4 linked regions of the Mus musculus genome follow. The protein of the gene in region 4 interacts with the protein of the main gene of each other region in a biochemical or structural test. Links are inferred from orthologs where the notes say so. Each region holds a gene or a part of one and is shown on either strand. Other genes may lie near its edges.

What was found.
Region 1: the proteins of Sp1 (region 4) and Klf10 form a complex in vitro, tested with the Homo sapiens proteins (2 studies listed by BioGRID). The link is inferred for Mus musculus from reciprocal best matches to the Homo sapiens genes SP1 and KLF10.
Region 2: the proteins of Sp1 (region 4) and Nr2f1 form a complex in vitro, tested with the Homo sapiens proteins (2 studies listed by BioGRID). The link is inferred for Mus musculus from reciprocal best matches to the Homo sapiens genes SP1 and NR2F1.
Region 3: the proteins of Sp1 (region 4) and Nfya form a complex in vitro, tested with the Homo sapiens proteins (2 studies listed by BioGRID). The link is inferred for Mus musculus from reciprocal best matches to the Homo sapiens genes SP1 and NFYA.

The regions. Positions count from the first base shown.
Region 1 is NC_000081.6:38,296,981-38,303,165, forward strand, and holds the start of Klf10 (Krueppel-like factor 10), read right to left. Parts: upstream 3,732-6,185; 5' UTR 3,615-3,731; coding exon 3,579-3,614; intron 3,570-3,578; exon of another isoform or gene 3,437-3,569; intron 3,161-3,436; exon of another isoform or gene 2,987-3,160; intron 2,921-2,986; exon of another isoform or gene 2,732-2,920; coding exon of another isoform or gene 2,717-2,731; intron 2,096-2,716; exon of another isoform or gene 2,027-2,095; intron 1,842-2,026; exon of another isoform or gene 1,767-1,841; intron 873-1,766; coding exon 642-872; intron 548-641; coding exon 1-547.
Region 2 is NC_000079.6:78,195,143-78,201,316, forward strand, and holds the start of Nr2f1 (COUP transcription factor 1), read right to left. Parts: upstream 3,732-6,174; 5' UTR 3,432-3,731; coding exon 2,978-3,431; exon of another isoform or gene 2,062-2,977; intron 1,308-2,061; exon of another isoform or gene 1,213-1,307; coding exon of another isoform or gene 1,200-1,212; intron 1,026-1,199; exon of another isoform or gene 960-1,025; intron 548-959; coding exon 20-547; intron 1-19. UniProt on the Homo sapiens protein: Coup (chicken ovalbumin upstream promoter) transcription factor binds to the ovalbumin promoter and, in conjunction with another protein (S300-II) stimulates initiation of transcription. Binds to both direct repeats and palindromes of the 5'-AGGTCA-3' motif.
Region 3 is NC_000083.6:48,406,090-48,412,181, forward strand, and holds the start of Nfya (nuclear transcription factor Y subunit alpha), read right to left. Parts: upstream 3,732-6,092; 5' UTR 3,537-3,731; intron 1-3,536. Other genes in the region: ADP-ribose glycohydrolase OARD1, read left to right, coding at 4,777-4,815, 5,175-5,319. UniProt on the Homo sapiens protein: Component of the sequence-specific heterotrimeric transcription factor (NF-Y) which specifically recognizes a 5'-CCAAT-3' box motif found in the promoters of its target genes.
Region 4 is NC_000081.6:102,425,583-102,431,194, reverse strand, and holds part of Sp1 (transcription factor Sp1), read right to left. Parts: intron 5,565-5,612; coding exon 5,399-5,564; intron 1,239-5,398; coding exon 1,039-1,238; intron 471-1,038; coding exon 163-470; 3' UTR 1-162. UniProt on the Homo sapiens protein: Transcription factor that can activate or repress transcription in response to physiological and pathological stimuli.

The DNA.
Region 1 (6,185 bases), about 64 Mb from region 4:
TGACAGGCAGGGGTGGCACTCCCCCAGTGGATACTGTAGGTGAAGACACCAGTACTGACTTCTGCACTGGGGACGAAGGAGCTGGCTGAGACCTACAAATTACTGTCTCTGAGGAAGGCACAGCAAAGTCATATAGTGCAGCGCCCGCCTTCTCATCACCATCGGACACTGTGCTGGGCTCAGGCTTGGATCTGTTTGGTGACACTGCAGCACAGGGTATGTTCTTTCGAGTAGCCTCAACATTTCCGTGGGTTCTTCTCCGGAAAGAATTGTCCTGATAGTTGAGGATGCTAGCTGCTTTCACGGGGCAGGACTGGTGGTTGCACAGTTGGGCATCAGCTGTGTGACGGATGACACTGGTGGCTTGAGCCTTAGGAAGAGGAGGGGCAGCTAAAGGATTCTTTTCCTCCTCTTTGAAAGGAGTGGCGCCTGGAGGCTTGGCAGCATCGGAGAAAGATTTGAAGTGGCCAGTAGATGGCGCTGATGCAGTCAGATTTGACCCTTGGGAGGGTTCGAAGTCAGAGGGGCTGTAAGGTGGCGTTAAACACTACAAATACAAACACAAGCAAGGAGAGGAATTAGAGGTCCATTATGTAAACTCTTAAAAAATGCTGTCACTTCTACCCACTGAAAATACTTACAAATGCTGGGACTGTCTGAAGGTCAGGCGTCCCTGGAAGCAAGCTGTCATCCTCGGAGGTATCAGACACTGGTGTGACAGGCCTGTTTTCAAGGTATTTCTTGAAATGAGACTTCCAGTCGCAGCTCATGGACATGAGCGCTTCCACCGCTTCAAAGTCACTCTGCTCAGCTTTGTCCCAGGGATGCATCCCCTCTCTGGGCTTTTCAGAAATTAGTTCCATTTTCCCCTCCTACAAAAACAAAAGTTGAAGCTAATCAGTTATCTGGTTATCCAAACCGCAGGAATGCCCAATGCTTGCTATTTTATTTCAAGGTTAAAGGCCACCTTATTACCAGTAAGGGAATTAAGACGAATGTCTTAAAATGTAATTTGACTTAAACTACTTCCAGGTTAAAGTGGTATCTAGTTACCTAAAGTCTGAAATTGGTAACTTCATCACATACGGTGGAGATTGAGTAAAATAAGTGGACACACACAAATACAGCCAGGCATGGTGGGATACATGTATAATCTCAGGAATGTGGAGGCCAAGAAGTTGGAAGTTGCATCTCAAAATGCAAAACACACAAAGCAACCAAAGAGGAAAAAAATATTTTATTTTGGTCAAGTCTCAATCTCTTAATATCTATGATTTTTATCAGATTTATTAAACACAATGCTTTTCTGTACCATAAGGGACCAGACAGGCATAAAATATGTTCTTGGGATATGCAAAAACAAACAAACAAAAAACCCCGAGTACAAGTTGGTTTTAATTTAATTAAAACATGATTTGATAACCGATCATGCTCTGTGTGCAACACCTTCGACCTAATGTCTCACATTAAAAGTTCCATGACCTGAATTTCAAAAGAATCACCAACCATCTCTACTTTCCTCTTAAAAAGAACTTCCAAATTCTTCTGGTTAAAGTAGAGGTTGCAAAAATTATGAAAAGCCTCATAAAGTGGGGGAGCCTGGAATATAAGGCTCCAGGCCAACTCTGGCTATATAACTAGTTCAGGGCCAGCCTGAACTCATAAAGACAAAGCAAAAACCTAATACATAAATAAAATGGCAATGATAATCTTAACGCTTTTCTAAAAATGCCTATCTTCCTGCTGAGTGTGGGAAAACAAGACACGGTTCTTGAAACATCACTAACAATGTAATTGCATAATCGTTCGCGCCTTTATGTAAGCTGCAATGGATGAAGACTGTAAGTGTAAAAAGCCTATAGTCACCAACTCAAAGAAAGAGGGGTGGGAAAAAAGGCAGCCAGGGGTGAAGAATGTGAGCCGGGAGGGGAAGCCGGGAGGGAGCGAAGAGCTGGTGCGAGGCAGGAAAGGGAAGCCGGGTGGAGGCAGAAGCGAGGCGGGGCGGGGCGGGGCGGGGCGCGGGAGGCCGGCGGGGGAGATCCTCGCTGGCGGGGACCGACCGATGGGGCCGCCCTAACCTCAATGAGGCTGGCGGGTGAGTCACCGGGAACACTGCCCGCCGCGCGCACGTCCCCGCGCCCCGCCCCTGCCATTGGCCGGCCGGCCCGCGGCCCGCGTCCGGATTGGCTGGGCGGGCAGGGTGGGGGCGCGAGGAGGAGGGGGCGAGGCATGTGAACAAAGCGTGATCAGCGACTGCTCCGGGCGGCGCAGGAAACGTGAACTGGGAATTGCCGCGCCGTCACCTTTCCCCTACTTCCTGAGCACGGGCCCCCGCCCCCGCTCGGCCGGGGAGGGGCCGCGGGCGCCGCCGCCAACCGCTCGCCAGTGCGCGCCGGGCGGCGCGAGGGCTGGGCGGTGTCGGCTCCCGAGTCGCCCGCCCCTTCCACCTCCTCCGAGCCGCGGTTCCCTTAGGAACCGACAGCAGGGCCGGGCCTCGTTCCCGCCCCTGGCGGAGGCCGGGGCTGGGTCACTCGGGGACGAGAAGCTCCCCGGGTGCACCCGTTCGCCGCCCATCCCTGGCCTCCGCCTCGGCTGCGGGAGGTGGGGCCGGGTCCCCGCGGAAGCCCGACCGCCGCCCTCCTCCTGCTCGCCGCCTCCGGGGAGCGGCCGGAGCCTGGGGCACTCCGCCCACTCGGCCCGCGGGACCTCAGCCTACCCGCATCTGCAGCATTCGTCCGACTGCTGTTTCCGGCAGCCTGAGCCCCCGCAAGCAGTCTCTGCAGGCTCCCAGACGTGCGGCGCCCACAGCACGGGCTCCAGGCGCGCGGCCCCACGGTTCCCGCCTCGACACGCGGCCCCCGCGTCTCGCGGTCCCGACTCCCCCGCCAAGCTGTCGGGCTCCAAGGCAGGACCCTGCCCCCTGCCAAGAGTAATCTATAGGCAGCCACCTGCCTCCGCCTCGGATGGGGAGTCCCCTCCCGACGTCTGCGGGGGCGCCGCGGCTCCCCTGGCGGCCGCAGAGTCCGCGTGCCTTCCATACCCCGCGCGAAGCCGGCCATCCCCTCCCCCAGCCCCGGGCTAGCCCAGCCCCGCGGTCTCCACCTGGCAGGGTTTCCCCCTCCCCCGAAGAGCAGGCGCCCTCCTCTCGGCTAGGCAGACCGTGAGTAGTCCTTGTCACCCCGGGTCGCATTCCTGGTGCAGACAGGGGCATCTCCCGCCAGAGCCAGGTGCAGGGCGCCCCCTCCATCTAAACCGCGCTTCCAGGGAGACAGCCCCTCCAGCTCACTCGTCTCCTGGGGTCTCCCTGAGAGTCCTCCTTGTCTCCTGGATACCCAGGATCGCTCTCCCCTGGTCCAGGTCCCAGGCTTCTTCCGACCCTTTTTTTTTTTTTTTTTTTTTTTTTTTTTTTTTGCACATGCCCTCGATGATATTCCAGCCTGCAGGGAGGAAATCCCTTGCAAGACCCCGCTGCAGCCTGGGTTCTCAGGCGTGGCTTATTTAGGGGCTCATGCTTCGCGCTCCGGCTGGCTCCCCTACACTGACCGGCAGGAAAGGACCAGCATCCTCAGGTAACTTACCGAAGCTTGCTGGAGAGAAGCGCCGAAGTTGAGCATGGTTGGCTGCCTGGCCGCAGGTCGCGAGCTGCCTGGCTGCTGGCTGCTTAGTTAGCCACAGACGGGAGCACTGAGACACTAGACGTCGACGCCACCGCGCTCCGCGCTGTCTGCCCCCCTCCCCGTGCAGGTAGCCGCTCTGCCTGCCCCGCGCCGCGGGCGGGGTAGAGGGCGGGGCCTAGTGTCGACCAATCAGCGGCAAAGGTGTGTGAGGCCTCAGCCAATGAGCTGGCAGAGCCACGCGTGATCAGCGGCTGCCCGGCTGCAAGAGGCTCTGTCAGTGGAGCGTGTACACAACCCGAGGCACCGTGTTCCCTCGGTCCAGCCCCGGGGAACTCCGGGGACCACCTGACTCCGTGACGCCCCTCGCCCAACCCTAGCCTTCAGTCCTCCGCCCATGCCCGGGGGCGGCGCCGGCGGCGGGGCATAGCTGGGAGGCGCGGTGGCGGCGACTAGGCTTTGCGGAGAGCCGGCCCCACGTGGGGGGTGGGAAGGGAAGCCCGCTCCGCCCAGTCCCCTTCGCGCCCACAGCGTCTGGGCCCGCCAGGGAGTGGGCGGGACCCCGAGCAGGAGGCGGAGGCGGAGGCTGCGAGCGCGGCTCCGAGCCACCAGACGTTCTTTGGCAGCGTGGTTCTCGTGGGTCTTGCGTGGAAGCAAGGGATGGATGAACCACTGAGCGGCATTTCTGAGCATTTGCCGGGTTTTGTCACTCTAAGCCGGAGGACTGGGGAGAACCAGGGCGAGATGGTGGCGGCGGGAGCCCTGTCACGGAACAGACACCTGCTCGCACTCACCGCCCACGCCCAAGGCGGCAGGCGCTGGCTCGTCCTCCCATCTGCAGCACAGGCACTAGCAGCAGGGCCCGCCTCTGCGCGTCCCTCCCGTCCTTCTGGGCGGTTGGAGTGGGGACTAAGGGAAGCCGGTACCAAAGAGCTAGTGGCGTGGCAGGGAGCCCCAGACCCGACGCTCGGTGGCAGAATCGAGTTTGAGTTTGATGTAGTTGAAGTTTAAAATACAATGTTCGAGCTATTTCCAAGGTGGACTCCACTTCCCCCACCCGCGGGACCACAGTCTTCGCCGACGCCCTACCAAGAAACCGCTTGAGGGGATGGGGTGAGGAAAGCATGCTTGCAGGTGGGATTCCTGACCCGGTCAAACATCGAGTTCCTGTCCCTGCCCCCTCCACCGCTCCAGGGATTGAGGGCAAGCTGAGCTTCTTAGGGAAGCCAGCTTGTGGGTGCAGCAGCCCGGCTGAGGCTGTAGCCTCCTAGTCTGAGAGCTCTTGGCTCCTCGTTGGCGCCCTATTGCCCCGCCCCCTCGCCCGTTTGTGCGGGTTCACGGCAGCTGTTGGAGCCGGAGGGAGTGATAACGGGGCTTAAAGCAAACTAGAGATTTTTATCTTCTCCCTGGGACAGGCAGATCATGAGACAAAAGTCACTGCCCTCCTGTGGGCTTTTTCAGCCTGCTGGGCTAAAAGGGCTAAAGCAGGTGCCCTTTCTCAGTCACCACAGACTAGGTAAAGGAGGGAATTTGTTTTAGAGGCCTCCAGCTCTACCAACATCTATCTGATGGTTCCTTCTGGTATACCTAAAGCCAGCCAGCAACAAATGTAATGATAATAACGTGGGCCAGAGAAGCCCTGGGTGGGGGTGGGAGTGGGGGAAGATGACTGAATGGCCTCCTGTCACTGCCTGCTCTGAATCCGCTGGAGGAGCGCCAACTCAGCAACCCAGGCAGCTCTTCCTGCCTCTCTCCACCCGGTGCCCTGCTTCTGTCTGCAGGAGTGTCCTTCCCTGCAGGCTTCCTTCCGCTTGGGCTGGCCCATCCTGTTGATCTGAGTCTGAAGGGCTGGAGCAGCTGGCCTGGGCACCTGCTGCAGCGCAGGAAGCTCTTGTGTGTGCCCAGTGGCAGGCCTGCCTGCCTGCCTTCCTGTCAGGGAGCCGCCTCCGGGAGAGGTCACAGCCAGACCCACCAAGCCTGAACCCTGTGTCTGGCGTGGTGCCCCCACACCCACTCTGCAGGCTGAGTTGTAAGGAGCGTTTGGGACTTGGAGTGATCACAGCAGGAAAGAGGAGAGAAAGGGGTAGGAGAAACTGGGTAGTGGTGACCTGGAGATTCAGAGAAAGCCTTCCCCAGGCACTTCAGACCTAATATCGCCAAATCTAAAACTCCTCTTTCTTTGTGGTCTTAAGGGGTGATCATTGCCAGTCTAGCCACAGTTGCCTCCCTCCCTCAAAAACTTAAGTGAGATCTAGTTAGTCCCCAGCTCTAGACAGCTTTGCCTCAGAAACACCTACTTACTGTTTGTTTTACAAGGTACTCTGTCTGCCTGTCTTCACCCCCCTCCCCCCATTTTGTCTTCAGTAACAGGGTCTCACTATGCAGCCCTGGCTGGCTGACAAATTCTGTGTAGCCCTGGCTACCTAGACAACCCTCCTGCCACAGCCTCCCAAGTACTGGGCTAATGGGCACCAGGCAGGCACTTGGCTCAGTGTTTCACCTCTAGCTTGCACGAAGCTATTTCTGTCTGTAATCCCAGGACATCCACCCACATCACAACTTGTTTTCCAG
Region 2 (6,174 bases), on a different chromosome or scaffold from region 4:
CTCGCGACCGCATCCTCACCTGACGTGAATAGCACGATGGCTTTGAGGCAGCTGTACTCGGCAGAGTCGACGTGCAGCGCCTTGAGCTTCTCCACCTGTTCCTGAAAGATGCGGATGTGGTCCATGAAGGCCACGACGCGGTCCGCGGACATGGGCGAGGCGTGCAGGCCGGCTGCGGCCAGCAGCGGCGCCACGTGCAGGGGCATGGAGCACTGGGCCGCGTTGAGCACGAACAGCTCGCTCCAGGTGAGGCGCAGCAGAGACACCTGGTCCGTGATCTGCAGATCCGGGAAGAACGGGATGTTGCGGGCCCACTCGACGGCGCTGAAGAGGAGGCGGGCTGCCAGCTCGCAGATGTTCTCGATGCCCATGATGTTGTTGGGCTGCATGCACTGGCTGCCATAACGCGACGTGGGGTAGGGCTCTGCGCGCAGCAGCAGAGAAATGTAGCCAGACAGGTAGCAGTGGCCATTGAGAGGATCCCCGTTTGTGAGTGCATACTGGCCTGGATTGGGCTGGGTTGGAGGCATTCTTCCTCGCTGAACCGCTGATAAAAAGAAAGAGAGAAAAGAGGCAATGTGCATCCAGGGGGGCTTGTGAACATCGCCGAGCCGCAGCGCGCACCCAACGCACTGTGGTTCTTTCCTGCAGTCACTCGCTCCCGAAGCATCTTCTCCTGCTTGCTGGGTCTTACTCACAGATCACACTGCTAGGAGATCTAGGGTGAAGTCATCTACCTTCACCGGCTCCGTGTGTCCATCCATAGTCTGCATCCCTGGCTATTTTAGCTAGAGAAGAAGAACTAGGCCTGACTGCAAGGCCCCTAGCTCAGGATGGCTAAGAAAGTACCACCCAACCTCCCAGCTACTAAGAAGCAACACAGATATAAATGAAATCCTTTCAGAATGATACAAATCAAAGTTTCTCTTTTAAAAATGAAACCTGAGAAAGCCACAAACCTTAGAGTACTCTTCACTTGTAAACAAGCAGCAAGTGTATAAAATGTTCCCATAATCTCTAAAGTGCTACAGAATAATTTTTAAAAGATACAAGTTATATATATATATCTTACTGAGTTGGACTACCAGCAAGCATAACACACACCTCCTCCCATCTTCCCTCCTCCAGACTGCCCCATACAAATTTCTCACTATTAAAAGAAACAGAAAATTAAAAAATTTCAAAGAAGTTGAACTTACAGTAGCCAAACATATTGAAAAAAAGTAGGAACTACAATTAATGTCTGTCCTGTGCGATGCCACTGCAACCTGCAGCCAGCTTTGCCCAGTGAATGCGCGAGCTTGCAACTGCAAAAACACTGGATTCATTACCCATCTGAATGCAAAACGTAAGCATGCATTGAGTTCTTAAAGCTGACCAAAGTTTTTTTTTTTTTTTTTTAAATGTGTATGTTTTACTTCAACAGTGCCAGCATTTTCAATTGCCATGTAAACAAAGACAACTCTAGGGAAAGTTAGGGCTACTGAACTGCCATCCCCCAACAAATTAGTAGAGCGAGGTCCATGTCCACAGAGCTGTCCTACCTCAGGCTCTACATCATTTTCTTTGGTTCTAATTCCAACAAGAGTTTCAGTGCGGTTTACGCTCTTTGAAACACAATGGTTAGAATACTTTTTCTAATTATAGTTTTGAACTTGGCAGTTATTTTTCAATTAAATGAGAGCACAATTCAAAGTTTTTTTGTTTTTTTTTGTTTTTTGTTTTTTTTTTTTTCAGATGCCTAAACAATCTCCCTGGAGCTAGCAATGGAGTCGTCATATTTGCCTTCTCCTTGAGATCTGAAGGAATTCAATTTCTTTTCTTGTGGCATATAAAATATAATTTTGAAGTCAATTACAAGAAGAAGTAATCTATGTTCTTCGAAATTGACTGGTTCACTAATTTGACTATAAGATATGTTTAATGATTGCCAGGAGATAAACTTTAACTATAAACCGCTAAATATATTTGTAAGAAAAGTGTTCCATCTCATGCCACATGAATATGAAGCATATCCAAATTAAACATCAAAAGTTGTGCTTAATAAAAAAAAAATCTCACACATCGATTAAATGATGCAGAAGCTCAAGCCAGCTGCAGTCTGTGCATTATAGCCAGATCAGAAGGATCGGTAAATGCCGTTGTAAATTGTAATTTGTATGCAGTATTTAAGCAGAGGGTGGAGTTTGATGAAGAAATAAAACGAGTATCAAGCTTTAAAAATGACACTACTATGAAAGCAGGGTTCAGTCACAAACTTTCCTTTCAAAGTATAGGGGTGAAAACAAGGCCACAGCTCGGGAGGAGGCGGCCCCAGATCCCTGAAGAGGAGAGGGAGCCAGTGAACAGGCCAGAAGCCCCCCTTCCCCCCTAATTAGACCTACAAGTGCAATAAATCTCACTCCTCTTTTTCCAAGCTAAGCTTCCTAAAGGATGGTGGCAGCAATGAATCTATGGTTCAGGGTCCTCCAGCCCCAGTCCTCTCCCATTATAAATAAAAGGTACGATGAGGCAGAGGAGAAAGTAGAATGGGAAAAACAAAAAAAACCAAAAAACAAAAACACACACGGAGAGAAACGGTTTTCTGCAGAAAATCATCACCCCTCCCAAGTTCATGCTAGCACAGCCCCAAGCATCCTCACACACAAGCGGGAACGAGACACACACGGAGCACATCCAACAGAGGAAGGGAGGGATTTTTAAGCTACAGCTCACGATCCCAGGGACACAATCTTGAGCAGGCAGCGGGCGGGGTGGAGGAGCCGGGGAGAGGAGCGCAGGGCGGGAGGGGGAGGCAGCGGCAGCGAGCTGGGGGGGGGGGGACGCTGGGGGAGGAAAGCAGCGAAGACTGGGAAGCCCGGACCGGCTGGGACCACAGAAGCCCCATCCCCACAGCCACAGGCACCAAGGCGAGAGAGAAAGAAAGAGCAGGGAGGCGGGCGAAGCGCAGGGAGAGAAGCAGAGAAGAAATATTCACCTTCCCGCCTCATGCCCACTTTGAGGCACTTCTTGAGGCGGCAGTATTGGCACTGGTTGCGGTGGTGCTGGTCGATGGGACAGTTCCTGTTGGCACGGCATGTGTAAGTTAAGTTCCTGCGGACGCTCCTCTTGAAGAAACTTTTGCAGCCCTCGCAGGTGAATTGGCCGTAGTGCTTGCCGCTCGACTTGTCCCCGCACACCACGCACTCGATGTGCTGCTGGCTCTGGCCTGAACCGGGCGGGCCCTGGCCCTTGTCCCCTGCCGTGCCGGGGGTGGCGGGCGCTCCGGGCTGGCCCGGGGTCTGCGGCGTGTGCGGCGCGCCGGAGCCCGCCTGCTGCTGCTCGCCGCCGCCGCCGCCGCGGGCTGCCTGCGCTGCGGGGTTGGGGCCGCCGGGGTTGCCCCCGGCCACGTCGTCCTGCGGATCTCGCCAGCTGCTAACTACCATTGCCATATCTTTGGGCCCAGGGAGCGCTGGGGGGAGCCGAGCTGCTCGCCGAGGGCCGCGGGGCGCGCGGGCGCGCTGGGAGGGGAAGGGGAAGGGGAAGGGGGGAGGGGGAGGGGGCGGGGGGCCCACCGGGCGCCCCGGGGTCGCCGGAGCCGAGCCCGAGCCGGGCACCGGCCTCTGCCTGCGCCGCCGCCGCCGCCGCCGCCGTTACTGCCTCAGCCGCCCCGCTGCTGCTGCGCGCCCGCCCGCCCTGCTGGCGTTTTGTTGTGGTTCCTGCTGTTTTCTTTCTCTCTTTTTGCAGCCCCCCCAGGCTCTCAGGCTCCCCCCCCCCAACACCCCTGCTCCCCTCGCCCGCTCCCCCCGCACTCCGTTCCTGGGGGGGCCTCTCTCTCTCTCCCCCCTCCCCACCCCCCAGCGAGCGAGCTCCCTTCTCTCGCTTTTTTCTTCTTCCCCAACTTGCAAAATCAGAAATGGCACAGGCGGCAGCCGGGAGCGGCGCGGGGCGCAGCGCCGGGGGCGGCGGGCATGGGCCACGGCGCGCGCACACTCTCGCCCTCCGCCTCGCCCGCACCCCCGCGCACACACACACTCGCACACACACTCGCTCACCCGCGCCGGGCGCCCGCCCGCCCGCCCGCCCGCCCGCTGGCCGCTGGCCGCTGGGGCTACGCGCAGAGCGCGGGCTGAGCCGACATAGAGGAAGCGGCGAGGGCGGCGGCGGCCGCGGAGGAGGAGGTCGCGGCTGCAGACGCTGCTGGAGGAGCTGGCCGCCGCTGCGTGCTCCGCTGGAGGAGCCCGGGCCCGGGCGGGAGTCCGAGCCGGAGTCGGGGCCGCAGCCCGAGAGCGAGCCGAGGCCGGTGCTGCCCGTGCCGCCGCCGCTGTCCTGGCGGGAGCCCTCGCCCGGTTTCAAGAGTGCGGGGAGCTGGGAGAGTCGAGCAGGATCGGGACGAAGCTGCCGGCGAGGATCAGGGCGCTCGGGTGTCTGGGGGCCAGGTCCAGGGCCGGACGCAGCCAGCCATTCAGGAAGGCAGCGCTGGAGAGCGGGAGGCAGCCGGCGAGGAAGATCACACACTTTGCTCTTTTTGTTGTGCGGGTGGCGCCGGGTTCTCTCTGCCTTCTTCTTTCGGGAGGTGACGGAAGGGGGAGAAAAATACGAGATAATTCACGCCAGCGACGAATTCACAGCGAAATAGGAAAAAAATAAAAATCAGAAGAAAATGCTTGAGAAAATAAGGAAAAAGAGAAAGCGAGAGAGACATCCAAAGTAGGTCGAATAAATAATCCTCTTCTTTTCCTCTTTCTTGCTTCTTCTGCTTCTTCTGCTATAACACACAGAGCTAGTTAAAAAACCCTGGAGATCGCCCAAAAATGTTCTTTTTTTAGTATTTTAAATAAGTGCTCTTCAGCTGGGAACCAACACCCTCCCTCCAAAAAAAATCATATATATATATATATATATACATACATATATATATATAATAACGATAAGAAGAATACTGAGGGGTGCCTCCTCCTCCTTTTTTTTTCAAGTTTAGTCTTCTCTCTTCTAGAGGAAAGGAGTGAAAGAGAAAAGGAGGGAGAGAAAGAGGAAGGGCGACAACTAGTAGAATATGTAAGGAAAAGAAAGGGGGAGAGATAGGGCAAGAGGAGAGTGGGTGAGAGAAAGGAGAGGAGGGAGAGAGGGGCGAGAGGAGAGGAGAGGAGAGGAGAGGAGAGGAGAGGAGAGGAGAGGAGAGGAGAGGAGAGGAGAGGAGAGGAGAGGAGAGGAGAGGGACCAAAAAATTGAATGCGTTTAAACGGGAGGACACTCAGAGCAATGTTTCCGAAAGGGGGATCTGCGCGAATGTCTGTATATAGTGAACTTTGACACTACTATTGAAACTGACACGTTTCTATGGAGATCTCTGCCTTATATGGAGCTCGTGTCAAGGAGCCAAGAGAAGGGCTGCTGGCAACTGATAATCAAAGGCGACTGACTGGTCAGAGCCCTGAATGGGGGGTGGGGGGGGGGAGAGAAAATGGGAGGCTAAGGTTAGCCAAGCCTCCTTCACGCCATTGGTTGGAAAGTCCTTTTCCCCTCCCCCCAGCTACCTACAGTCTGGGATGTCGAGGGGAGGAGAAGAGAAAGTGAGGGGGGGGGTGCTTCTGACAAGCATAATTTACATTGAGATCGCCCTGCGCTGCTATTTACTCTGAGACCTGATTAGTATGGGTCGTGTATGGTCACACACACACACACACACACACACACACACACACACACACGAGGGGAAAGGGATGATGAGGGGAGAACGCGTTGTGATGGGAAAAAACGAGGAGAAAGAAATTACTGTATATCTTATGAAAACTTTTCAGAATTAGGTTTTATGAGCGTAAGGAGTGGCACTGAAAACGTTAAGAAAAAAATTAATGAGGAAAAAAACTCCATCATTTTAATGATTTGTGAAGTCTACTTGGTTTAGAATCTTAGTTCACATTCAATATAATCTTAGTCTGTATCCCGCTCATTTTATATAATTATGAAAAGCCTCCTCATTTAAAAATCTGAAGTATATCATAGTTTCGGAGGCGTAATTACGACAAAGCACACACATGAAACTGCAGCTACTGCCACAAATTCGATCCGAATCGATGATTCCTATTCATCCCAAAGATGATCTTAAAATAAACTTTCCAATCAATCCTCTTTTTCCTTTTTCATCATTTTTATTCCCAGGATGCTCAAACTCCAAACAATGCTTCAATGATT
Region 3 (6,092 bases), on a different chromosome or scaffold from region 4:
CACACACGTCAGTCTCTGTCCTGTTCCTAGAGAACCCTAATACACCAATGTGCATACACTCCACGGTGGCAGAGCTGACTTATATCCCAACCGATGGTATTTAAGAGCTATTCCTATCCTCACTCACCGGCACTCTTTATTTTCTTGATGACAACTATTCTGACTGGTGTGAGAAGGAAATTACAGTATAGTTTTCATCTGCATTTTCCTGATGGCTCAGTATGTTATTTTTAAATACAACTATAGGCCATGTGTATTATTTTGAGAACTGTCTAATCAATTTGAGTATTTATAGCTTAGGTTATTTTGTTTGTAATTTCTGAGCTCTTTCTATATTCTGACTATTAATCCCATCAGCTGAAAAGCTGGCTAAGTTTGCAGATTTTACACCAGCCTGTTGGAGCCAGTTGCCTGAGCTGGTTCTTGAGACCTCAGGTCCAATATGGTAAATCAGCCAAACTAAGTGGCTCCACTAGGGCACCAATGTTTTCCTTACTGGGGGTGAGGGGGCTTGAGGGTGCTAACAGGTGGTCCAGGCTGACCTCAAACTCAGAGATCCACCTGACTCTGCCTTCTGATTGCTGGGATTAAAAGCCTGTACTACTACAGTCCATCCAATGTTTCTGAATTTTACCTTGTTGTCTAACAATGTACCTGTCTCCAGACTAATAAAGTAGGGCTACAATATAAGCAAGCATGGCCCCATGATAAGAAACTCTGACATCAGAAGCCTAGACAGAAAGCAAACTGGAGTTCCTTGAGCCTGAGGGAAGGAGGTGGGAGAGACTGAATAGATGAGCTAGCTCTACGACCATTTTGGGGATGACCAAAGTTCTCACCCTTTTTTTCAAGTGGGACTGTACAGGTGTGGAGAGCTTTAAAAACTCACCAAAATACAGATATACAAGGATTAGATTTTAAAGTTTTTTTTTTTAAGATATTAACAACCTCTGTATTTTACCGCTTCCACTAGCCCCAAGACGCTTTCCTATAAAACTTTCTTCTTGGCTAAATGTCCTAAGTCTGCATCGTCTCAGATTAAATGCAGAATGGAGCCTGAAGTGGGCAAGAGGGCTGGAATAGCTGTAAGGAACATTTGGAGTTGACTCAGTTATCTTGCTGATACAAATGCTCCACTCTTAGGCCATTGAAACCTACTGGGCTTTGGAGGCAGCTTCAAACCCAGCAGCCATTCTGCATTGATAAGGGAGTGGTGGCGCTTGGAGCACAACCCTCAGGTTGCCCATGGTGCCGACTTCTTGGCTCCAGTGCGGCCATATGCTCCTTCCTCCATCAACTCAGCCAGCAGAACTGTGACACAACCTGACACACTTCCTTTCCTTACGCTTTCTGTGCCCAAGTTTATGACAGAATTGAGCCAGCTGGATTTAGTCTGTCTAGCTCTTCTACAGACTTGTGAATGTGTTTTTGAAAGTGAGAATATGAATGAATAGGAATGAGAATGGGTTTATTCTGGCCTCTGAGACATTCTCTTCCATAGCATTTCCTGCCCATTTACATGGCACAGAAGTAGCTGGCCAGCACTTAGAATCTTCAAAAGCTGAAATGCCCAGAAATGCTCCTACAATAAGCATCTGATCACCGCAGTCCATCTGACCTGGCATCACACACACACACCCAGCTAGGGCCTTTGAAGGCTCCAGTGTGCTCCTTGTCTCCACTAAGGAGATAGCATGAACTAAATAACAAAACAAGTTAACTTCAAAGAGGCTTTTAAGTCTAAAAAGGAACAAAAATGTGTATTAGACTCCTAAAGGGAAATACAGTAAATGGAGTTTGGGGGACAGAGGCTTTTCCACTGGGGACAAACCAAGGAAAGCACTGGGAAAGGGTGTCATGTGAGTTAGGTTTAAGTCTGAGATCTCACCCAGATGAAGGTAGTATAGGGTGAAGTATTTCAAACAAAGGGAGATGCCTGGGCTGTGATTAGATTAGAGAAATCGAGAGTCTGCACTACTTTTTCTTAAAGTGCAGATGCAGAGGAACCAGTGGAGGCTCCACAGGTCTGAGTCACAGTGACTGAGGAGAACTGCCTTTTGTCCACAAAAACATTTGGCAGTTTTGAGGTGGACATATGCATCCATTTTTTTTTTTTAAATACCAATCAAAGTTAGAACACCCAGTCCAAATACAAGACTATGGGGTAGAATCCTCAGGTCAGCAACCTTCACCCCCAAGGTTAGGGGAGAAATCCACTCTAGATTAACTTTTAACCTCCAGTCAAAACCGTTTTCAAAAAATTCCTTTGTAAGACCTGCAAAGGTTTTTACCAACTGGACTTTCCCGCCTAAACTCAGTACTCCCGGCCTTTCTGCGTCCAACCGCACTATCTGTTCCAGTTACTCTTTTCAGTCTTTCCTCTCTGAGGACATCACCCTCCATCACCAATCAAAAGCGTGGCGCTGAAAATAGGCTTCCTCATGTAAAGTGCACTTCTGGGTACTGGATCAGATCCCTATGAAACACTAACACCAGTCAATCTCCACCGAGCAGACATAGCTCCTAGCCCTACTCGCTTGCAGCACTTGGGTGACGTCCGCCAAAGACTAATAGCTAGCAGTCCTTGGAAGACTTCCTGTCCCCCGAAGGGGGAAAGAAAATCTAAGCACGTGTAAGTTTTAAAACATCAGTTGAGAAAACGTTCGCGCGGGATTTCAAGGTGTATTAGAAAAAAGAGACACGAGTGGGCCGAGCTATTGAGTGGAGAGATTAAAGGAAAACAAAACCAGAGAGCATCCAAGGGAGAAAAGATCAAGGGAGGAGACAGGGATAATAGGAACTGCGAGATGTGTGCCCCCAATCATTAAGGATGCACAAGGGTTATCAGTTCTGCAACAGCGGCGTTTCAAACACCGAGACACTGAGCAAAAAGAGGAAGAGTGCTTGGTTGGGCTCCAGCACGGAGGTGTGCCGGCACCGCGGGCTGAGCGGGGAGGAAATGACGAGCCAGAAAGGGGTGGTAACGGCGCCGGCCCGGGAGCCCCGGTGGCGGGCCGAGAGGAGGGGCGCGGCAGGCGCGCCAACGGCCCCGGGGTGGGTCTTGGGAGGCCGCGCCGCGCGTCTCAGTCTGGCCTCGCTCCGGATCTGTAGCCCCAACTGTGCAGAGCTCAGGACACACGGGCCTCGTCGGGGCCCGGAATGTGGGGACACACAAGGACAGGCCGTAGGATGAGGCTGGAACGACGTGGGGAAACCGCCACGGTCCGTGGCTGGGCGGTCAGCCACCTGACCTCTCGGGACCGAGGATCGGGGACCGGTGGCGCATCCGCCACCGGCCCCCGGAGACGATCCAGATCCCGAAAAGCCTGGCTCCAGGACGCCGTCCCAACGCTGGACGGCCCCTGCAGGCCTCCACCAACTCCGAGCCGGGGCTACTGGCTACCCAGCTCGGGCAGCCTCGGCTCGACTCCCGGGCTCGACGGACGCCTGGGCCTCTCCTGAGTGGTCAGCGAGACCCGCCAATCGGGGCGCTGGGGCCGGCTCTGGGCCGCTGGATATTGGCTCCTCATACTCACCGTGCCTCGCTCCCCCGGTTCGCTGCCCGCGCTGATTGGCTCCAGTACCGGACCCCGAAACCCAATCAGAGGCTCCAGCCGCCGCTGCCGCCGCCACTGCCGCTGCCTCGCAAAATGGCGAATCTGAACAAAGGGGAATCGGGCCTCCCTCCAACCGCCTTCGCGCAAGCGCCTTCGAGACCACGCCCCATAACCCCGGCCAGCCTGGCCCCGCCCCCTAGGAAGAGCACCGCGCAGGCGTTCCAGAGGCCACACCCACTTCCTGGATTTGACACCGCCTCCCGCCAAAGGCCTACGCAGGCGCCTTTCACACGCTCCGTACGCTGCTGCTTAAACACCTCCCTGAATTATATACCACGCAGGCGCTGACACGCCCCCCTGCCCACCTATTTCTAAGCGTCCACTGGGACCCACCCTCTGGGGCCGAATGCGCAAGCGCTCTTCTTCTCCAGTCGGGGTCGGCATCTCGGTACGCATGCCTGAGCGGTAGCGGGAGCCTACGGAATTTCCCGCCGGAAATTCTGAAGCCCTTACTACCGAGAGCGGGCGCCGCTACCCAGCTAGAGAGGCTCACTTCCGCCCCGTTAAGGGATGGGGGCGGCCATCTTGAGTGTGCGTACAATCAAAAGGCTTTGGCGGGATTTGTTGCGTGTCGGGACTCTTCTGTTGCTTTCCTACCTACGAGGGTTTCATCCCGAACCCTTCCCTGCTTGGAGGAGGGCCTGCTGACGGCCGATTCCTTTGCAGGTGAAGGATGACCCCCCAGTACCCACTTTTCTGCGGGATCCCAGGGTTGCCCTCCTTAGGGTAGGAGGAGAGACGGGGAAGTCTTATCAGACCTTCCTTCCTGTACCTCCAAGACTGGTGGTGATCTTCCCCTGAGAAGCAGTTCTCGGCTCACCCTGCCGCTCAGTGTAACTGTGGCCAGGTCTTTCCCGTTCTAAGCTATATTCTCTGGGAAAATTCTGGACTGTCCTAAACCTTCCCTGCTAGAAGTAAGGAGGTGTGTCTTAGGACCGCCTTTGCTTCGGCTCCTGGAAAGCTGTTTTGTGTTGCCTCTTAGAGGCTGAGTGAGCTCACATCCAGAAAGAATACCTTAAGGAGGTGGGGAAGACTAAATGGGTTGTCAGGGTGATCTGAACACGCTATGTTCGGGCTGCCTGAGCGGTATTTTTTTACTTGCTTTTCCTTTTCATTAGCAGAAGGAACTCTTAAATTCTGGAAATAGCGACTCAGTAGCATGGCCACCCGCCTTAATGAAGATCCAGAAGGAAGTCGAGTGCGTAACAGCTATTAAATTTATCGGTGAAGTGAAAATCAGAATAATTGAGGTCAAAAGCATAAACACTTTTTAATTAAACCAATAATTGGATTCTCGCCCCTCCCTGTTTGTTTCTCTCTAGCTGATTTACTTAGAAAAGGCTAATACAACCCTAGGCAGATAATAACCATCCATCACTTTCCTTTTACAGATACTTTAAAATATCGTGGTTAACTCCTAAGTTGGGAAGAGTTGTCTTTAATTCAGAGTGTCAGAGAAGCAGGGTTGAAGCAGTGGGGGTGGGGCTCTGTTGAAGATCTGAAAGGAGAAATAGTTTTCTGTTTTTAACCTTTTTTTTTTTCCTTTGCACGTTTTAGATCACTTACGTGAAAGGAGATCTTTTCGCATGTCCCAAAACAGACTCTCTAGCCCATTGTATCAGTGAGGATTGTCGAATGGGTGCTGGAATAGCTGTTCTCTTCAAGAAGAGATTCGGAGGGGTGCAGGAACTGTTAAGTCAACGTGAGTTTCCAGAGCATCGTAGCCTGGTTCATGCTGGCTGAAGCCTGATTTGGTCTTCCGCTATACTCTGTGTACATGTACAGTCAAAGAGATTTCTAGTGACTGCTTTTAACTGTTAAGGGTTTTGTTGTTGTTATTGCTGCTGCTGTAGTTTTTTTAAACTTCCTCAAGATTGGCCTCTGCTGTAGATCTTTACCACACTAAATCAGAGCTGTTGTCAAAGTTTCCAGTCTCTTCGCCCTTTTTGTGTATGAATTTGCAGTGTGCAGATACATACATGTAAGGAGTCCAGATGTTGGCAACATCTGTCTTTGTTGGCTCTCCACCTTTCTCTTTTCTTTTTCTTTTCTTTTTTTTTTTTTTCTTTTCTTTTTTTTTTTTAGCGAGGACACGTCTTAATAACGTAGAGCTTGTTAGCCCCAGGCATCCTCCTATGTGCTTTTCCAGTTTGGGCTGTCCAGTGTGTACCTGACACGTAGGTTTCCTGTGGGTGCTGGGGATCACACAGGTTGTCATGTTTGTCCAGCATGCACTTCACTGATTTAACTCATCTCCCCAAACCCTCAAAGCTTTTCTTCCAAAATATTTCACCTTTCCCACACTTTGGTTAACTGAAGGGCTTATCAAATTCCATATGCTCTGGAGGTCAAGATCCTGTACGAAATATTATTCCGTTCTTTCTTTGAAGCAGAGTCTCGTTGTGTAGCCTAGGCTGGCCTGGCTCTTGCTTTGTTAACTTTAGCTTGTCTTGACCTCTAAGCCGTCCTCCTGGC
Region 4 (5,612 bases):
AATCCCATCTCTTTTTTTTGTACCATCTCCCAATTCTTCCTACCACCAAGCACATTAATGCCTCATGGCTCTCTCTTCCAGATGTCTCTTGGACCCATGCTACCTTGCATCCCGGGCTTAGTGGGTATTGGCCCATATGTCTCTGGCACTGGGTGTCTAATCTTAGAAACCATTGCCACTGATATTAATGGACTGCAGCTCTGTCACCTGCATGACGTTGATGCCACTGTTGGCAAGACGGGCAATACCCTCTGGACAGATGGCCTCCATGGCTACCATATTGGTGGTAATAAGGGCTGAAGGAGTGGCAGTGCCTTCTGAACCTGCCCCACTGTCCAGGGGCAATGTGCCCACACTCAGGGCTACACCTGGGCCTCCCTTCTTGTTCTGGTGAGTCTTGATATGCTTTGACAGGTGATCACTCCTCATGAAACGCTTAGGGCACTCAGGGCAGGCAAATTTCTTCTCTCCTAGTTTAAAAAAAAAAAAAAAAAAGATAAATTAGCCAAAAAGCAGTCAGAACAAAGTTGAGGTTGATGTGTATCCTTCTGGACTAATTCAAGTACTCTTGGAGACACGCTTAGTTTCACATATACATTGTTTAGGAATTTCAGTTTGCTTCATGGGCATATCATTTCTTTTTTCTTTTCTTTTTATGGTTTTAGAGCTTTATTATAGAAAGACAGAAAGAGAGAAGGTAGAAAGAGAGAGGACTGCCATGGCCAAGTGGAGAAAGGAGGGAAGGGAGGGGGAGAGCTGGAGATGAGAATAAGAGAGGTGAGAGCTTATGAGCTCATTTCTTTCTTTCTTTCTTCTTTTTTTTTTAAAGATTTATCTATTTTATTCATGAATACATTGTAGCTGTCTGAAGAGGGCATTGGATCCCATTATAGATGGTTATGAGCCTCTATGTGGTTGCTGGGAATTGAAATCAGGACCTCTGGAAGAGCAGTCAATGCTCTTAACCACTGAGCCATTTCTCCAGCCCTCATTTCTTTTCTGTCTACTACTTTCCCTTTTCCCTTGGGTCTTACTCACCTGTATGTGTACGTTTATGTCTCTGAAGCTCGTCCGAACGTGTAAAGCGCTTCCCACAATATGACCAATTACACATGAATGGCCTCTCCCCTGTATGCCAGCGCAAGTGTGCTCGGAGATGTGAGGTCTTGCCATATACTTTGCCGCATCCTTGGATGTGACAAATGTGCTGTTTCTTTTTGCCAGGATCTCCTGAGGCTCTAAAAATGAGAATATTATGATTTATCACTCTGGAGCTAGAAAGTAGGGAACCAAGAAATTAGAATAGTAATTGTCAGAAGCAATTACTTAACCCATTCCTTTGTTTTTGAGAAAGACTCTATGTAGCTCTGGCTGTCCTGGAACTTACTAAGTAGACAAGGCTGACCTCAGAGATCCATCTGCCTCTGCTTGCATAAAACTAGGTAGGATTAAAGGTATGTGTGCCATTATACCTGTCACTAGGACTTACTTTTATATGCCATTCCGAAGAAAGACACAAGTGGATCTTCGTGAGTTCAAGGGAAGACTGGTCTACAGATCAAGTTTCAGGACAGCCTAGGCCTGTCACACAGAGAAGCCCTGTATCTGTCTCTCTGTTTGTGTATCAAAATGTTTTTTAGATTTATTTATTTTATGAGTATTTTGCCTGCACATATGTATGTGCAACACAGCACACCGGTGCCTACTGAGTTTAGAGAAGGATGGTAGGTCTCCTGGAACTGAAGTTACATATGGCTGTGAACCACCACATAGGGTACTAGGAATCTAAACCAGTCCTCTGGAAGAACAATCAATGCTTTTAGCTGCTGAGCTATTGTTCCAGCCCCTGTTGTTTTTGTTGTTTTGTTTATATTTGGGGACAGAGTTTCAATGTATAGTTGAAATGAGTTTCTGGCTGTCCTGAAACTCACTCTGTAGATCAGGCTGGCCTCAAACTCAGGTATCTGCCTGCTTCTGCCTCCCAAGGGCTGGAATTAAAGGCAGGTGCCATCACACCTAGCTTTTGTTTTTTCAACTTTTATTTTTATTGGGAGCTAGAGAGACTGCTCAGTAGTTAAGAGTACTTTTGCTCTTCCTGAGGACTGGAATTTCATTTCAAGCAACTACAACCAAGTGACCCACACCACCAGATTCAAAGACTCTAAAGTCTTCTCTGGCCTATTAGCTGCATATAAATACACAAATAAAATTTTTTTGGCTTATTTATTTTGGAGACAGGGTTTCTTTGTGTAACCTTGGCTGTCTTGGAACTTGCTCTGTAGACAAAAAAAAAAAAAAAAAAAAAAAAGACTGTGGGATCAGAAATCTTGTAAAGGGGTAATATAGTACATTTGAGTAGGTCCTATTATGCAGCTCTTGTTTCTGACTTCTCATTGACTCTGATTGCTAGGTAAATGTTCTACCATGGAGTTCATCTCAAGTTTGTGAGTTTATTTACTTACTTTTGCAACAAGGCCTCATTGTATAGCCCAAATTACCATAGAACTCCTTGTGTAGAACAGGCTGGCTCTAAAAGTGGGATTATCCTTGTGCCTCTGTTTCCTGAGTGATGAGATTACAGATATACACTACCATGTCTGGCTCCACAGAATGTTTGTTGTTCCAGACAGAATCTCTTTTATTTAGCTCATGCTGGTCTTAAATTGACTTTTAGATTAGACAGGTTTCAAATCTGCAATTTTTCTGCTTCCAAGTACTGTGGCAGCAGATCTGTGTCACCAACAAATCTAGCTTCACTGACTTTCTTACATGAATTTTTTTTTTGTTTTGTTTTTTGCACAAAGTTCTATCCTATTAGCCCATGCTCTCTTTTTATTATTTTTTATGTGCATGAGCAGTGTTTGCTTTTCTTATGGGTGGCTACTAATTTTATGCTGGTGCTGGCACATGCTTTTAATTCCAGCACACAAGAGGCAGAGGCAGGTGTATCTCTGAGTTCAAAGCCAGCCTGGTGTTCCACAACAGCCAGGGCTACATAAAAATAAATAAATAAATACCCTATCTTGAAAAACTAAAACAAAATGAGCCACTCCTTCAGGCCTAAATATGAAGGTAAAAGAAAAGCATGGAGGCTTCTCCTTGTAATCTCTGCTACTCGAGAGACAGAAGCACAAGAACCAAAAACTCAAGGCCAAGATAGGAGATGTATCATCTGATTCCATGTAAATTAAAATAAGGAGCTTAGAGAAGAATTATAATTCAGAACATGGCCACTCTGGCAAGAGATCATATCCAAAGATCTTCTAGGTCTATGTGATCCGAGAACTCACTATGCCATCCCCATTGGAAGACAGGCTGGGATACAGACATGCCTTTAATCCTAGGAGACTGAGGCAAGCATATCTCTTGAGTTCTAGTCAGTTCTGTTCAGTTAATGGAATTCAGAGGCAGTTTACAGGGAGAGGTTTCCCCTCCCCTACAGAGACAGGTTGAAGAGAGTTATAATAAGCTAGACACAGTTAAAGACAGAACAAGTGGGCTGGAGAGATGGCTCAGTGGTTAGGTCCTGAGTTCAAATCCCAGCAACCACATGGTGGCTCACAACCATCTGTAATGAGATCTGATGCCCTCTTCTGGGGTGTCTGAAGACAGCTACAGTGTACTTACATATAATAAATAAATATTAAAAAAAAAAGAACAAGCTAGAGAATAAGGAGTCAAAAGGCCGGGCGTGGTGGCGCACACCTTTAATCCCAGCACTCGGGAGGCAGAGGCAGGCAGATTTCTGAGTTCGAGGCCAGCCTGGTCTACAAAGTGAGCTCCAGGACAGCCAGGGCTATACAGAGAAACCCTGTCTCGAAAAACCAAAAAAAAAAAAAAAAAAGAGTCAAAAGATTAGAACAGATTGCTAGTTAGTTTGAGGTAAAGCAAGGAAATTAAGTGAGATGCAAAAAGAAGCCCATTTGAATCAGTCAGCTTGGAGGGGAGTTCTGAGTCAGAATAGCTGAATTGAGCCAGCAAAAAACAGCTTACTCAGCAGTAAATCTCAGAGGCTGAAGGTTTCCAGGCCTAGTTTAAAGGACAATTATCTGGTGAATAAAAGTTACATTTACAGGGGCTGGGTGTGGTCTCACACCTTTAACCATAGCACTGCGAAGGCAGAGGCAGGAGTGTCTCAATGAATTCAAGGCCAGCCTGGTTTGCATAGTGAGTTCCAGAAAAACCAGGGCTACAAAAAGACACCTTCTCAAAAACAACAATAAAATAAAAGCTGCTGAGCTTGGCAGACCACGTGACTTTAATCCTAGCACTTGGGAGGCTAAAGCAGGAGAGGTCAAATAGTGAGATCTTGTCTCAAAAAACAAAAACCAACCAAACCAGAAAAATACAATACATATTGCAAATACCTGTTAAAAGTCCATTCTGACTCTTCTCCCCCTGCCCCTAACCTAAACTTTTCCAGTTTATAATCTTCCCTCCCTAAGCTTATCATTCCCACGTAACCCTGCCATTTAGACAGGTGCTCTCTTGCCTCTCATATTTATCTTTCTCACTTTCTACCCCATTCTCTCTCCTGTTATGGCCAAGTCCAATCTACTGGTTGTTATTTAGTCTACTTTCTCTCCTTGCTCTGAACTCTTCAGTGCCTCTGGCTGTACCTTACCTCATTTTATTTTATTTTTTATTTTTTGTTTTTCGAGACAGGGTTTCTCTGTGCAGCCCTGGCTGTCCTGCAACTCACTCTGTAGACCAGGTTGAGCTCCAACTCAGAAATTTCCCTGCCTCCGCCTCCCGAGTACTGGGATTAAAGGTGTGCACCACCAAGCCCGGCTGTACCCTACCTCTTTATCTACAATAAAAACCTTCCCCTCAACTACACCTTGGAGAAGTCATAGTCCTGTTCTTAACTTTATCTCAAAACCCTCATTTTATTTATATACTCCCTATGTGGGGTTAAATAGACACATGTGCCAGGTGTGGTGGCACACCTTTAATCCCAGCACTTGACAGGCAGAAGCAGGTGGATTTCTTAGTTGGAGGCCAGCCTGGTCTACAAAGTGAGTTCCAGGACAGCCAGGGCTATACAGAGAAACCATGTCTCAAAAAACTAAAAAAAAAAAAAAAAAAGACACATGTACTTATTATACCTCCTCAGGAAAAGTCTGTCACAAAACATGGGATTACAGACACGTGTGACTACAACTGTCACTCTCTTTCTCTTCAGACACAACAGAAGACAACTTGGGATACCATTACAGATGGTTGTGAGCCATCATGTGGTTGCTGGGAATTGAACTCAGGACCTCTGGAAGAACTGTCAGTGCTCTTAACCACTGAACCATCTCTCCAGTCCTCTCCTATCATTTTTTCCTCATATTTTTATAAGAAAGAAAAAAAAAGTAAAAGAAAAATTCTATAATCAAGAAAATGAACTCACCTTCCCTCACTGTCTTTGCAATAGGGGCATGTACATGCTTCCCGACGAGTCCTGCGTCCAGCTTGGGGTTGGAGATCAGAGCTATTCTCTCCTTCTCCACCTGCTGTCTCATCATGTATCCCATCACCACCAGATCCATGAAGACCAAGTTGAGTTCCATGATCACCTGAAATAAAAAGACAAGGAGAAAGGTGAAAAGGCAGGACTAAATAGC